Drosophila melanogaster: one gene and its partner. The gene in region 1 interacts genetically with each later gene. Each region holds a gene or a part of one and is shown on either strand. Other genes may lie near its edges.

The links.
Region 2: of esc (region 1) and sens, changing one suppresses a phenotype caused by changing the other (phenotypic suppression), as found in Drosophila melanogaster (one study listed by BioGRID).

Annotation. Positions count from the first base shown.
Region 1 is NT_033779.5:11,826,704-11,831,391, reverse strand, and holds esc (extra sexcombs), read left to right. Parts: upstream 1-1,986; 5' UTR 1,987-2,156; coding exon 2,157-2,216; intron 2,217-2,288; coding exon 2,289-2,422; intron 2,423-2,484; coding exon 2,485-2,656; intron 2,657-3,020; coding exon 3,021-3,932; 3' UTR 3,933-4,188; downstream 4,189-4,688. Other genes in the region: Pde1c (phosphodiesterase 1c), read left to right, coding at 561-1,115. UniProt on the Drosophila melanogaster protein: Polycomb group (PcG) protein.
Region 2 is NT_037436.4:13,395,526-13,403,313, forward strand, and holds sens (senseless), read right to left. Parts: upstream 5,601-7,788; 5' UTR 5,383-5,600; coding exon 5,223-5,382; intron 4,942-5,222; coding exon 3,860-4,941; intron 1,930-3,859; coding exon 1,779-1,929; intron 1,543-1,778; coding exon 1,310-1,542; 3' UTR 703-1,309; downstream 1-702.

The DNA of each region.
Region 1 (4,688 bases):
AACTCCGATTGCCATTTCGTCTAGGATTTTTGTTTTGTTTCGGAATTGATGCATTTTTAAAAGTTGCCCTACCAGAAGGAAACGAATTGTTGAACTGTATTGTCTATTTTAACAAAATATTTGTTTTTTTTTTTTGTATATAAATGTGAACAGTGAAATTCTTGAAGGTTCAACTTTAGAACATGATTGACAGATATTTTATTTAGAGTAAGGCAATCTTCGTGGGAAAAGTCCAATCCACTGCCCCTACTAAACCCAAAAGCTTTATCACAATCTCTCAACTGATGTTCTATTTATATATTCTTTCTTTCTATTGCCAAAACTATTTACCTAAAACCAAAAAAAAAAAAAAACATGAAAACTAAATGAAAACTTTTGCACAAAACACACAAACAATCCGAATGCTATGCAACGTCAAATCAACGTGGTGTCTCGTTGCCCAAAAATTGCCCATTTGCATTTTCGCTGTTACTCACTGCCAACTGCTGGGCGCCGAAAAACTTGACCGCCTTGGCACTCGAAACTGGCGCCCAACGTATGCCGGCCATTTACTTCTGCAGGGAGGGCTGCAATGGGAATTGCAAGAACCTGAACTGCAGTCGCCATAGCCACGGACGCGATGACCAGCAGCAGGACAACAACAACTCCAATAGGAGTTGCAGCCTGCAGGAGGCGTCGCCTGGGGGAGCAGGTGCAGGTGTCACACCAGGCGCTGACAACCAGGACAGCATAGAGAGTCGCACCAAGGGCGTTTCCCAGGCGCCGCAGACCCACAGTGGCCCAACGGGTCCACCATCCAACACCTCGAGCGAAACTATCGCACAACCTGCCCCTAAGCTTCAACCCGCCCTGGAAACCGTAAGGGAATCGGTGATGGAAGAAAGTCCTTCGAAGGATCCCGGCGACAAGGGACCACCGCCGCCCGCCAGCACATCCACATTGACATCCCAAACCACCACCTCCTCCAGCGCAACCGCGGAGCCAAGTGCCAAGGCGGCCGAGAGTCAAGCGGGAAGTGCCGGCAGCAGTGGCAGTTGCAGTAACCCAGCGGCGGTGCATCGGCAACGCCGCCTAAGGACACCCACCTGGGCCAGGTCCATGTCGACGAACAAAACGTACTTGAAATTTGATTTCTATGCTAGACTAACGTTTATCCGTTACGCCTCTTCAGTTCGTTCGATTTGCCTTTATCGTTTCACGTTTGCGTTAACCAACCAACAACCACACAGCTCCAGAATGAACTACTTTCTATATATACACACATAACTCTATGAACTCTGTCTCTCTATCTCTCCTTTATCCAATCTATCCATCTGTCTGCTGACCTCTGTCTGCGATTTCCACTGCTGTAATCTTCTGTCTAGCCTCTGTCCCCTACCCCAAATCTTTTGCTCGCTTCTGTTGTAAATAACTATTTTATCCTAGACTAATCAAAAAAAAAAAAAGAAAAAAGGACACTTGTTTCGTTCCCCAGCCGCGCTCAGCGGGATTGTAAATGTTTCGTTGCCGCGTTTGGACAAAAAATTGCTTACTACGTTTAAATACTCCGTGCAACTATTAAATCAAACTTACATTCATACGTAGTAAGCACTTGAAGGAGTGAGAACTGGAAGATATACTTTAAATGTATTCAAAACTGCTTAAAGTATTTGTATGATACATTTGCATTTCTGAGAAACTATATCTTCCACTTTTGACGCCACTCGCAAGCAGCAACTCTCCTAGTCTTGTCGACCAGTGTAATTTTGTGAATACATGTACAAAGTTTGAATACCGCACATGAATCCATGGCATGTTGATTGTCCTACATTTGTTTGTTTTCTATATTAAAAAACTAGCTTGCGCATGTGTTTTGTCGTTTTTGAACTTTTTTTAACTTTCCCGCCTAAGTGTGTTAAATACCGTTTAATGTTTACCAACACTGGCCAGCCGATCGTGACCAGGTGGCCACGCTGCGCAATGGTAAGACCGTACTGCCTGCAATGCCTGGGTATTTTACGCGATCCGTGACTGGGGTCACACCATTGCCGCCAAAAAAAAACATTTTCATTCGCCTCGTTATTTAAACATTTAAAAAAAGCATTATCGAATAGTTCATTGAAGTCGCGGCCTAATTTGGGTTTCATTTAACCGTACAAACGTGCCGCGCGTTCGAAATGAGCAGTGATAAAGTGAAAAACGGCAACGAGCCCGAGGAGTCGGAGGAATCATGCGGCGTGAGTAGCGAATGACAAATGGCTGTGCGAACCGAGAATTAATGGATCTTTTGGGCCATGTGCCGGCTGCAGGATGAGTCGGCCAGCTATACCACCAACAGCACCACCTCGCGCAGCAAGTCCCCGTCATCCAGCACGCGCAGCAAGCGCCGCGGTCGCCGGAGCACCAAATCGAAGCCAAAAAGTCGCGCCGCCTACAAATACGAGTAAGAATATGCACTTTCTCAGCTGGCCACTGATACTGAACCTACAAATGATTACCATGAAGCACCCACGTGAAGGAGAACCACGGAGCCAACATCTTCGGCGTAGCCTTCAACACGCTGCTGGGCAAGGATGAGCCACAGGTCTTCGCTACGGCGGGCAGCAACCGGGTGACCGTCTACGAGTGCCCTCGACAGGGCGGGATGCAGCTGCTCCACTGCTATGCAGATCCGGATGTGAGTCGCCAGGATACAGAATACACTTTCAAGACCCTATTGATCAGTTGGCTAAAGTTAGGGGCTTCATACATTAGACATCGCATTCAAAGCTGTAGAAAAAGTGGGATCCAGTCAAAGTTTCTATTAAATCATTGCTTTTGTTAATTGTTTTAAAGTAAGAACAATCGTTACAGGCTTTCAGCATGGTTTCACAATATCCAAACATTTATCATTTCTTGTATTAAGTTTGGTTTTTCATAACAGTCAAGTTTTCAAATTAAAGCTTATATTGTTAATTTAGCCGAGAGTAACTGAGAATATGGTCGCAAATGTAATTGTACAAACTCGAAATACATCAACAAATCTTGAATTCCCTTCCCAGCCCGATGAAGTATTTTACACCTGCGCCTGGTCGTACGACCTTAAGACCTCTTCACCTCTCCTGGCCGCTGCTGGATACCGCGGAGTCATCCGGGTTATTGATGTCGAGCAGAATGAGGCGGTGGGCAACTACATTGGCCATGGACAGGCCATTAACGAGCTGAAGTTCCATCCGCACAAGCTACAGCTTTTGCTTTCGGGCAGCAAGGATCACGCGATAAGATTGTGGAACATCCAGAGCCATGTGTGCATTGCCATCCTGGGCGGAGTGGAGGGACATCGCGATGAGGTGCTGTCCATCGACTTTAATATGCGTGGAGATCGCATTGTGTCGAGCGGCATGGATCACTCGCTGAAGCTGTGGTGTCTGAATACGCCCGAGTTCCATCACAAGATCGAACTGTCGAACACTTTCAGCCAGGAGAAGTCAACGCTGCCTTTCCCCACGGTGACCAAGCACTTCCCCGATTTTTCAACGCGGGATATACACAGGAACTATGTGGACTGTGTGCAGTGGTTCGGCAACTTTGTGCTCTCCAAGTCCTGCGAAAATGCCATTGTCTGCTGGAAACCGGGACAACTACATCAGAGCTTCGAGCAGGTGAAGCCGAGCGACTCCTCCTGCACGATAATTGCGGAATTCGAGTACGACGAGTGCGAGATCTGGTTCGTGAGATTCGGCTTCAATCCGTGGCAGAAGGTGATTGCCCTGGGCAATCAGCAGGGCAAGGTGTATGTGTGGGAGCTGGATCCCAGCGATCCCGAGGGCGCACACATGACCACCCTGCACAATTCGCGTAGCGTGGCCACTGTGCGCCAGATAGCCTTCTCTCGCGATGCCAGCGTACTGGTCTACGTGTGCGATGACGCCACCGTGTGGCGATGGAACCGCAGACAAACAACTTCCATCTGATGGCGCAGCTGGGCGCAACCACAAACCAAATCTCACGTGGCCAAAACTTACAACATTTCCCTCAATTAGTTCCTAGTTGGTTAGCATTAAGATATAGAATTACGCTCCTGTGCTGTTCCAAATTATTTCAAGTAAATCCAATTAATAGTTGGATGAGATTTAAATATGTTAAGCCGGTTGCTTTTTAGATGTAAGAACGAATAGTTGTTGCTTACTCTGCTGCCTTTATTTATTGTAAATAAAGTGAGTACATTGTAATTTCACATGTATATAAGCAACATTGAAGATGTATTTTCTGCTTAACCAGAATCCAAACTGCTGCTCTTTAAGCCATGTAAACGTCTTCAAGCTGACTGAGTGTCCCCAGTTGGCAATTCTAATTGCGAAACAAAGCAAAGCTGCGCATAACAAATGGCTTTCAATTGCTACGTCATTTATATGCATTGCTGCAACGCCATCCAGCTCCAATCTGCTGGAAATGCGGCGAATAAGCGCGACGAAATTGAAACTGCCAACGGGCGTGCGAACCGGGATGAGTGGGAAACCAAGCCAGGCCAGGCGGACAGCGATCCCGACCAGCCATAACAGCTCCCAGCAGACTGATTAAGCGAGCAGAGTCCCACAATGATTTGCCATGCCCTAGCTGGATTTTTATCGAACGCTTCTCTCTCGTTTTGATGAAAGTGCAGGCCATTTCCATCATGGGTTTTTTTCTTTTTTGGGGGGTTGTATCTAATGGAAGTTTATGAAAATAGC
Region 2 (7,788 bases), on another chromosome or scaffold:
TCGGTGATTTGTAAACTGCCAAACTTCATTTCGGGCGTTTTAAAGTGCCGCAAAATGCATTCGGACATTTCGATTACCGAAAATTGCGATCAGCAGTCCTCAATGACCATTGCTCCATGCCCCCCCCCCCCTTCTCGATCCCCGCCAGCCCCATTTCTCACTTTATTTCGTCAGCAATTAGTTCGAACTTCGAACACTTATTGGCGTTTTCCCCAAGGATCGGGCATGCAAGTGGGCCGAGGGGGATGTGTACCTGCTGTAACGCGGCGACTTACAAAGGGCATTCCCCAAATGCCACATTGGGCACAGATCAAAGATCACCGCGTCACCCGAAACAGGAGCAACTTATTCCCCATCAATTGAGTACGTGCAGAAATTCATCTATAAAATCAGGTTTACGAACAGGCCCCCGAAAAAATATTTGGAGCGCTTTGGACAATTTGTATCAAAATGTGGTACTTCAAAGGAGGAGGCTGTGTCCTTGATACTAAGGAATTTCTCAGCTGCTCAAGGGGTTGATCGTAATAATGAGATATTTAACCCACCCGATGTAAAAACTTTTTGAATTAATAATACATACCAAAAATATATACATATGTATTAATCATATCATGTGTATTTTCTGATATGCCTGAGGATTTTGTATAAAGGAATCAATCAATCATTCTAGATATTTTATCCTTAAAAAAACCCATATATTTTGTTTGTTCTCTTTTAGCTTTCAACTTTATTTTCCAAAAATCATATACGCTCCTAATAAATATAATTACAATAAGTCATTGGGCTTATTACAAAATAAGAATAAACTAAAAATTCGCATAGATCGTATAAATAAATGTGGGTGATGCCATCAATAAACTTAAATAAATTAGGAAACTAAATTTAGACAAGTGGTCGCCAAGTGGTAGTTCATTTGTTTGAGGTTGTTCTTTGGTACGTTTAGCTGCCAATTTTGGGTTAAGTTTGAATCAAATCAAAAACGCTTTATGCAATAAATTAGATTAATCATTAAGCTAGGGTTTAACGGCTATAAAAAAGAGTCTTGTTTGGGATAACTATGTACAGACTTAAGGCAGTATCTTAGCTAATATGTTTTAACAATAATTCTTACGATTAGGTAAATCTTTGCGAAGGCCTAAACAAAACAAACTTTGGCTTCATAGCAACGACTTAGACTTAGGGCCAACTGTGATCTGCTCCACCTTCATCATCATCATCATCATCATCATCATCTGGTTTTGAGTGTGTGTCTCGTCCTGCTTAGCTAATACTGGGATCTCCTGGATCAGAGATTGCCGCCTAGCCTCGGTCAGCAGCTGCTGCTGCTCACCTCCATCTTCAGGGGCTTCAGGTCCTCCACTGGCGGAGCCTCCTCATGGCGGCTCTCTCGATGACGTCGCAGATCCACCTTGCGCTGGAAGGACTGATCGCAAAGGTGGCAACCGAAGGGTTTATACCCCGTGTGCTTCCTCATATGCGTGATCAGGTTGGAGCTCTGGCTGAAGGCCTTCAGGCACACGGTGCACTTGTGTGGCTTCTCGCCTGGAATCGCAGGAAAATCAATAAACACAATTAGTTAAATGCCGCTTCAAAGTTTATTAATTGTGGCCGAGAGGCGGCGGCAGCTTTACAGCAATTAGACAAATTGAAAGGCGATAGGGATCTGTGTGTGTGCTCAAGGGTGGCTCTGTTTGCACCACGTTCTGACACATTTGCCGAGGAATAGTTGGATACTCTCCCCATGGACTAGCTTTGATTTCACCGAATATTCAACTTACCGGTATGTATGTACGTGTGCTTTTTCATGTCCGACTTTTGGTGGAACCGCTTGCCACAATATTGGCAGGGATATGGCCGTGTATCGCTGTGGATGAGCAGATGTGTGGACAGGGTGGACGAACGCTTGAAGCTCTTGCCACACTGTTTGCACTAAAAAGAAAGACATAGACAATAGAAAAATACATTATTAACACCACATTCAGACAGAACGAGTCATGATTATTGGAACTCAGAATACCCCATATTTGCACAGCTTGAGCATATTCACACCAAAAAGCCAAATAATCAAAAAATCAGAAAAGAATTTATATATAAATTCACCGTTTTTGTGTGCCTGAGCCAAATTCGCAGTGGCAACATGAATTAAACTAGATTTGTGAGTGCTCAAATATTTGTTAGACAAGTGACGACAAGGGAAAACCCAAACCAAGCCAAACTTGGTTAGCCCACATCCAGGCGACAAATAATCTAGAACCTTAGCCATTTCTCAGCGCTGAAACCAGCTAGGTAAATATCTCGGCCCAATGCTAAATCTCAAGTGAGACACTTTCCAGGGAGCTTTAGCCATGCATATATGTACATACATTGTATATACCGCAGTATTTGTGGGCCAAACACAGCTGGGATCCACGGGGAATCGATCGCGGGGATTGGACGAATCCAGTGGCTGTAACATCTTCGGTTGTCAGATTAAATGTTTGAACAGTTTGCCAGTTGCAGCAACGTTGCAAGTAACCAAACATTGACATAACACAACTCAAATCGTCGGCCTACGTGGGCGACATTTATATTAAACACGAAAACATGAAAACAACGAAAAGTAAAACACAGAAATGGGTGAAAAAAATGTGAGACAATTTTTTTTTTGAAAAACCCGCATGGTCTACGCGTAATTGTAAATTGACACAAGTGTCGGTTTTTTAAAATTTCTTTCTTATTGATTTTTATGTTCTCTTATTTTTTTATTTTTTACGTTTTTTTTTAGCCTTGTTTTTGGGATTTTCTATTTGCGCATTGCATTCGCGTGGACCATATCCACTACACACATTGGCTAGACTCAGACCCAATTAGTTGCTCTATTGTTAAGCTGCGCTCAACTGCCTGAGCCATAATGTCAATTTGCTTAGCTCTGACAACGGAACGGAAGTTGGCAAAGCTCGAAAGGCAAAAAAAAAAAGAAAAAACGAGCAGGGAAACAAAAAAAGAGTTAAGGAGAAACCCCAAAGTCTGAGTCAGCCGGGTGGGCCTCCAATGGTGAACAGATGTAAAGCACGAATTACAGAAAAAATTCGATTTTATACATAAACAGCTGAAGAACAGTGACTGCGCCTGCGCAAAGGACTCTGGCAACTGTCTTCGTCGGCTTTTTGACCATATGTCGGTCCGGTACTGAAGCCCGAAAACCTATCGCATTTCACTCTGACCCTTTAATGTGTGAAAAAAAAACTGGAAAAAGATGTTAAAAAAAAAAAAAATAAGGACTCGCGGCGGGTGTTGATGGATATAAACGCAATATGACATCGGGGTAGGCATAAGGCCTATTAGGGTAAGTCGTCTCAAATTCCTGAGGGTCGTGTGCCCTCTTACCTTTTGCACAATCCAATATCGAATTATTATGATTGTAATTTGTACATAAATCTTCGAGGGCGAGTTATGCCCCCCACCGCACTGGCGCTAATCAAAATTATTTGATTAACTAATTGCGTGATTTCGATGGGACTTAATTGAATTTCCATAGAGCTCTATCGGTTTGGCTTGTATTACCAACTTTATGACAGTATTTGCTGTGCCACTTTTCCAAATTGAAAGTGGTATTGGTGGGGTTTTCGGCTCGGCGACAATTAAAACCCGCACGGACAAAATATGAAACAATTAACACAGGGGAATTGTCGAGGACACGCAACCTTATGCAATGATACGAACAGTATTCGTTTTGGGTTATAGATCATGGTCCTTCAGGACACGTGATAAGCCCATTAAAGCGGGCTGGGGGCTCAGAGATTTTCAAGCGATTTGCCCTCGATTTCCTCTTCATATTTCCCTACCCCTCGACGCGTTTATCCTGTTTGAGTTTGCTTACCTGGAAATTCCTGCCGCTGCGCTTCTCTTCGTTTTCTCCTTGGTAAGATGACGAGGAGGACGAACGACGCGCAACATCTGTGGCCGTCGAGTCAGGATGTTGCTGCTGATGCTGATGTTGCTGCGGCTGCTGCTGGTGATGCAACTGTTGTTGCTGCTGCTGCTGCGGCTGTTGGTGTTGATTACGCATGTAGCCGAATTCGGCGGCTGCCACCAAATTCATGAGTGCCGCTGCCGAGCGGTTATCCTGCTGCTGCTCGTCCTTGATGCGATGCTGTTGCTGCTGCTGCTGCGGCTGCTCGCTCTTCAGCTTCAAGTGCTGGGTGAGCAGCTCCAGATTGTTGCCCGTCAATCCGGCCATGAATGCGCTGCGATGGGCATACAACTGCTGTTGGGCCACCTCGAACTCCAGATCCTGGACGGCATTCGAGGCGGGAGCGGACAGCGAGGAGATCGGCGATTGCAGCGAGGATATGGATGCAGTTCTGCGCTCATACTTGAACTTTCGCACAATAGGATCCACCTGGTGCTCCTCCTCATCGCCCTGCTCCTCCATCTTCAGGCCGTACTGCTCCCTTCTCGCCGATCTCTCGCACATCGAGGCCGGTGACCAGATGATGTTACCCTGCGATCTCTGGCGCTGTTGCTGTGGTGTACTCGAACTCTTTAGATTCACAGCGCTCAGGGGAGGCGGGGTAACGTTCAGCGAGGTCATCGGATGCAGTTGCTCCACTTCACTGCTGGAACTGCTCCTGCTGCTGTTGTTGCTGCTGCTGTGATACTGATCTCGGTTGGAATCATCCGATGTGATGCGCTCCTTGGTGCTTAGATTTAGTGGCATATCCTCATCCTGCTCCTGATAGTCCTGCTTGCTGTTCTCATTGTTATTGTTCATTTGGAGTTCATGCTCCTTTTCGGGCGTCAAGGCAAAGTCACGATCCCGCTGACCCAAAACCACAGAGGCGGGCGATTTGGGGGTCATGGGGGTCAGTGGTGTACCCAGAGCCGTGGCCGAGGACAACAAAAATTGGGGCCACAGTAGGGCACTCGAGTAGAGCAGCGGGTTGTACAAAAAGGGCAGATCTATGAAATGCAAATTTAACGAATCAGTTGAATAGTAGTGATTAAGATTAGGAAGGAAAAGTATCCTCAGGATGCCTATCAATATAAAGTTACTCTTGTATTGGTAAGAACTACAGTAAAGTTAACATAATTTTTCTGATCTGTTGAAAGTGTTAACATTTTGATTTTAAATCGAGTGATCTTTTAAATACAATTCGAAACGATTAAAAAGCTATAAGCTAATCTTTTTGCTATCTTTACTGCCCCATATATTTTTCTGTCAATCCAGATCGGGAACTCACCTCGACCATTGAGTTTCTGTGCTGCGGCGGAGGCTATCACAGTGTTGAAGGCGGATGCCCGCTGCATCCACTGCTTGTCCAGAGCTGCTCCATGGCAGCCCAATCCCGCGGGACTCGGCTGCTGGGAGTGCGGCGATGGCGGCGGCGATAGGTGATTCATTTTGATTCTGGATCTTTACTTTTTGGAATCTCACTGGATCTGATTTACGTATTTGCTTTAACAGTCTTTGGATTGTGATTTTTCTCAATACTGTTCACTGCACAAATCTCACTTTCTTGGCGTTGTGATCTTGGATTCGAACGGATCTTCGATGGGTCTTATTCAGTGCGGTTTTATCTTGACTCACTGGAGACGAACACGTCCGTATCGCTCGGTGCTTCGCACCTGACTGAATCTTTGGTCGATGGCTCAGTTCTAAATTGAGCCAACGGTGAAGCGACTTGGCCCGAAAAAAAGGTACAAATCGAGCTCTCTTTTTTTTATTTTTGTGTGCGACTGTGGTTACTTGTGGCACTGTGTGAGTGCGGCAGCAAGCCGAATCAAAACGAGCCCTCGGTGTATTGGTGTTGACTCTTTTGGTGGTGGCTCTCGAGAGCCCTGCAATGTATTGTTGGTGTTGGTGTTCGTGTTGCCAACTCTGGTTTTTCACCTTTGGCAGCAGTTGGCGGCAGTTGCAGTCCTGTGTTCCATGTTGTATGGGTCAAGACGCACAGTTAGGAGTCCCCTGGCGATCTCGATACCCCAACCCCCTGCGTTCGTATCCTCTTGGCCCATCTACTACTGGTTTTCCAGCACGCGTTTCCCTACTAATTGGTATGCACTTAAAGTTTGGCGGGCGTTTGTTATCCTTTTCCCGCTGCCCTGTAACAGTTACAATTGCCTTTGCTCTTTCTGTTGCTGCCACCAACTGTTGTTGGCTCAGGAATATCGGGATCGGTACTTTGGCCAAGGGAGAAGAAGCGAGAGAGGGCCAGCAATCGGCAGAGGATTTCACTGCTGATCGGTGGAAGGGGGGAGAGGACGAGGGCGGGATGGGGCGGGGTAGCATACAAATATTTAGGTGGATGAATCCAAGGATCTAACATCTGTCGTGGCAACTCTCCATGTTTGTAGATACTGTTTAGATTACCTTTAGATTTGACAAGGATTACAAATGGGTTCCTAATTTTGAATGTGATGAAAATTAATTTTTGTATTAATTATTAAAAATACATTGCGAGTAAAATATAGGAGAAATTAAGTTTAAATTCATTTTTATTTGCGCTTCTCCCAATAAGGGTAAATAGTTTAAAGCAACATCGTGAATTTAATCTTTAAGCTTTAGACTTCATCCATAAAAAGTGTTATTACATTTTAGAGGATTGACGTAAACCTACTTCACAACCAATGCACAAATATATAAACTTTATTTAAATTATTGTAGAATTTTTTTTGTTATATTTCTATATAAAATCTACCTTACCAAAATGACATATTTGATTATAATAATGTTACATTTAAATACATAAGATTAGGACAGATTTTATTTAATAGCTATCAAAATATCAGATTTCCCATTTAAAACCGTTTTAACAAATAGTTTGGTTTGGTTTCAGAACATTAACTTTCAACAAAGTTTTTGTTAAATTTCTCAATGCAAACTTTGCAGTTCGTCGTATTTTCCTAAAGCATTTCAATAAAATTAAAAGACTGAATTCTTTTGTCAGTCAATTTAAAACCAATACCAAACTCTAAGCCATAAAGTCCCCATCTTCTCGTTGGATCGTAGCTATTAAACCACTCAGATAGGACGACTGAGCACCTGCCACTTTCTCCCTCTACCGCTCGATGCACCTTTTTCCGAGCTTATCCTTGATGAGAGTTCGGGGTCCTCCTCCTGAGTTGGTAGCTCGCCACGCTTGGCCACCTCGTCTTGGCCGCCTCAATTCCAGTTTATCTATCCTTGGCGCGGGCCACACCTGCCTAGAAAACGAGCCAAGAAAATGTGGCGGGCGCACACTTACACTTCCACATTTAACGATCCTTTTCCTTGTCAGCAATTTTAGTTCCCATCCCCTAGTTTTTGGCGCAATTTCCATGGCAGGACATGTGCAGAGTTGAGGCGACACCGAAATTCCATCGCACTCGTGTCCGCCACGGGTGCCGCCGATCTAGCGAAGCGGTACGAGGCACGCGGCCTAAAAGCGGGCCAAAATGGGGGAACTCTGGCTTCTACCATTTCGACCGCGATGAGGGCTGGCCAAGTCAAGTTGGTGGCATCGTTGCGCTTGGCGGCGTTCCCATACATATTGTTTATCTGGAGAACTGAGGGCGCGTGCTCATCCCCTGCCGCTTTGTAACGGATTCACCGTATGCCGCTCACACATCTATCATCGTTTGATATGCGGTACACTGAGAGAAATACTGTTTTGAAAATTACAATATTCCTGCATATAGAATCCGCTTAATGCAGCTAGGAATGCAGCACTGAGAAATTTATTGAAAAGGCTTTTACTTTAAACCGAAATCTATTATAGATTACCGCAACAAACATGTAAATAAGTTGGTGCTATTTAGTTTTAATAT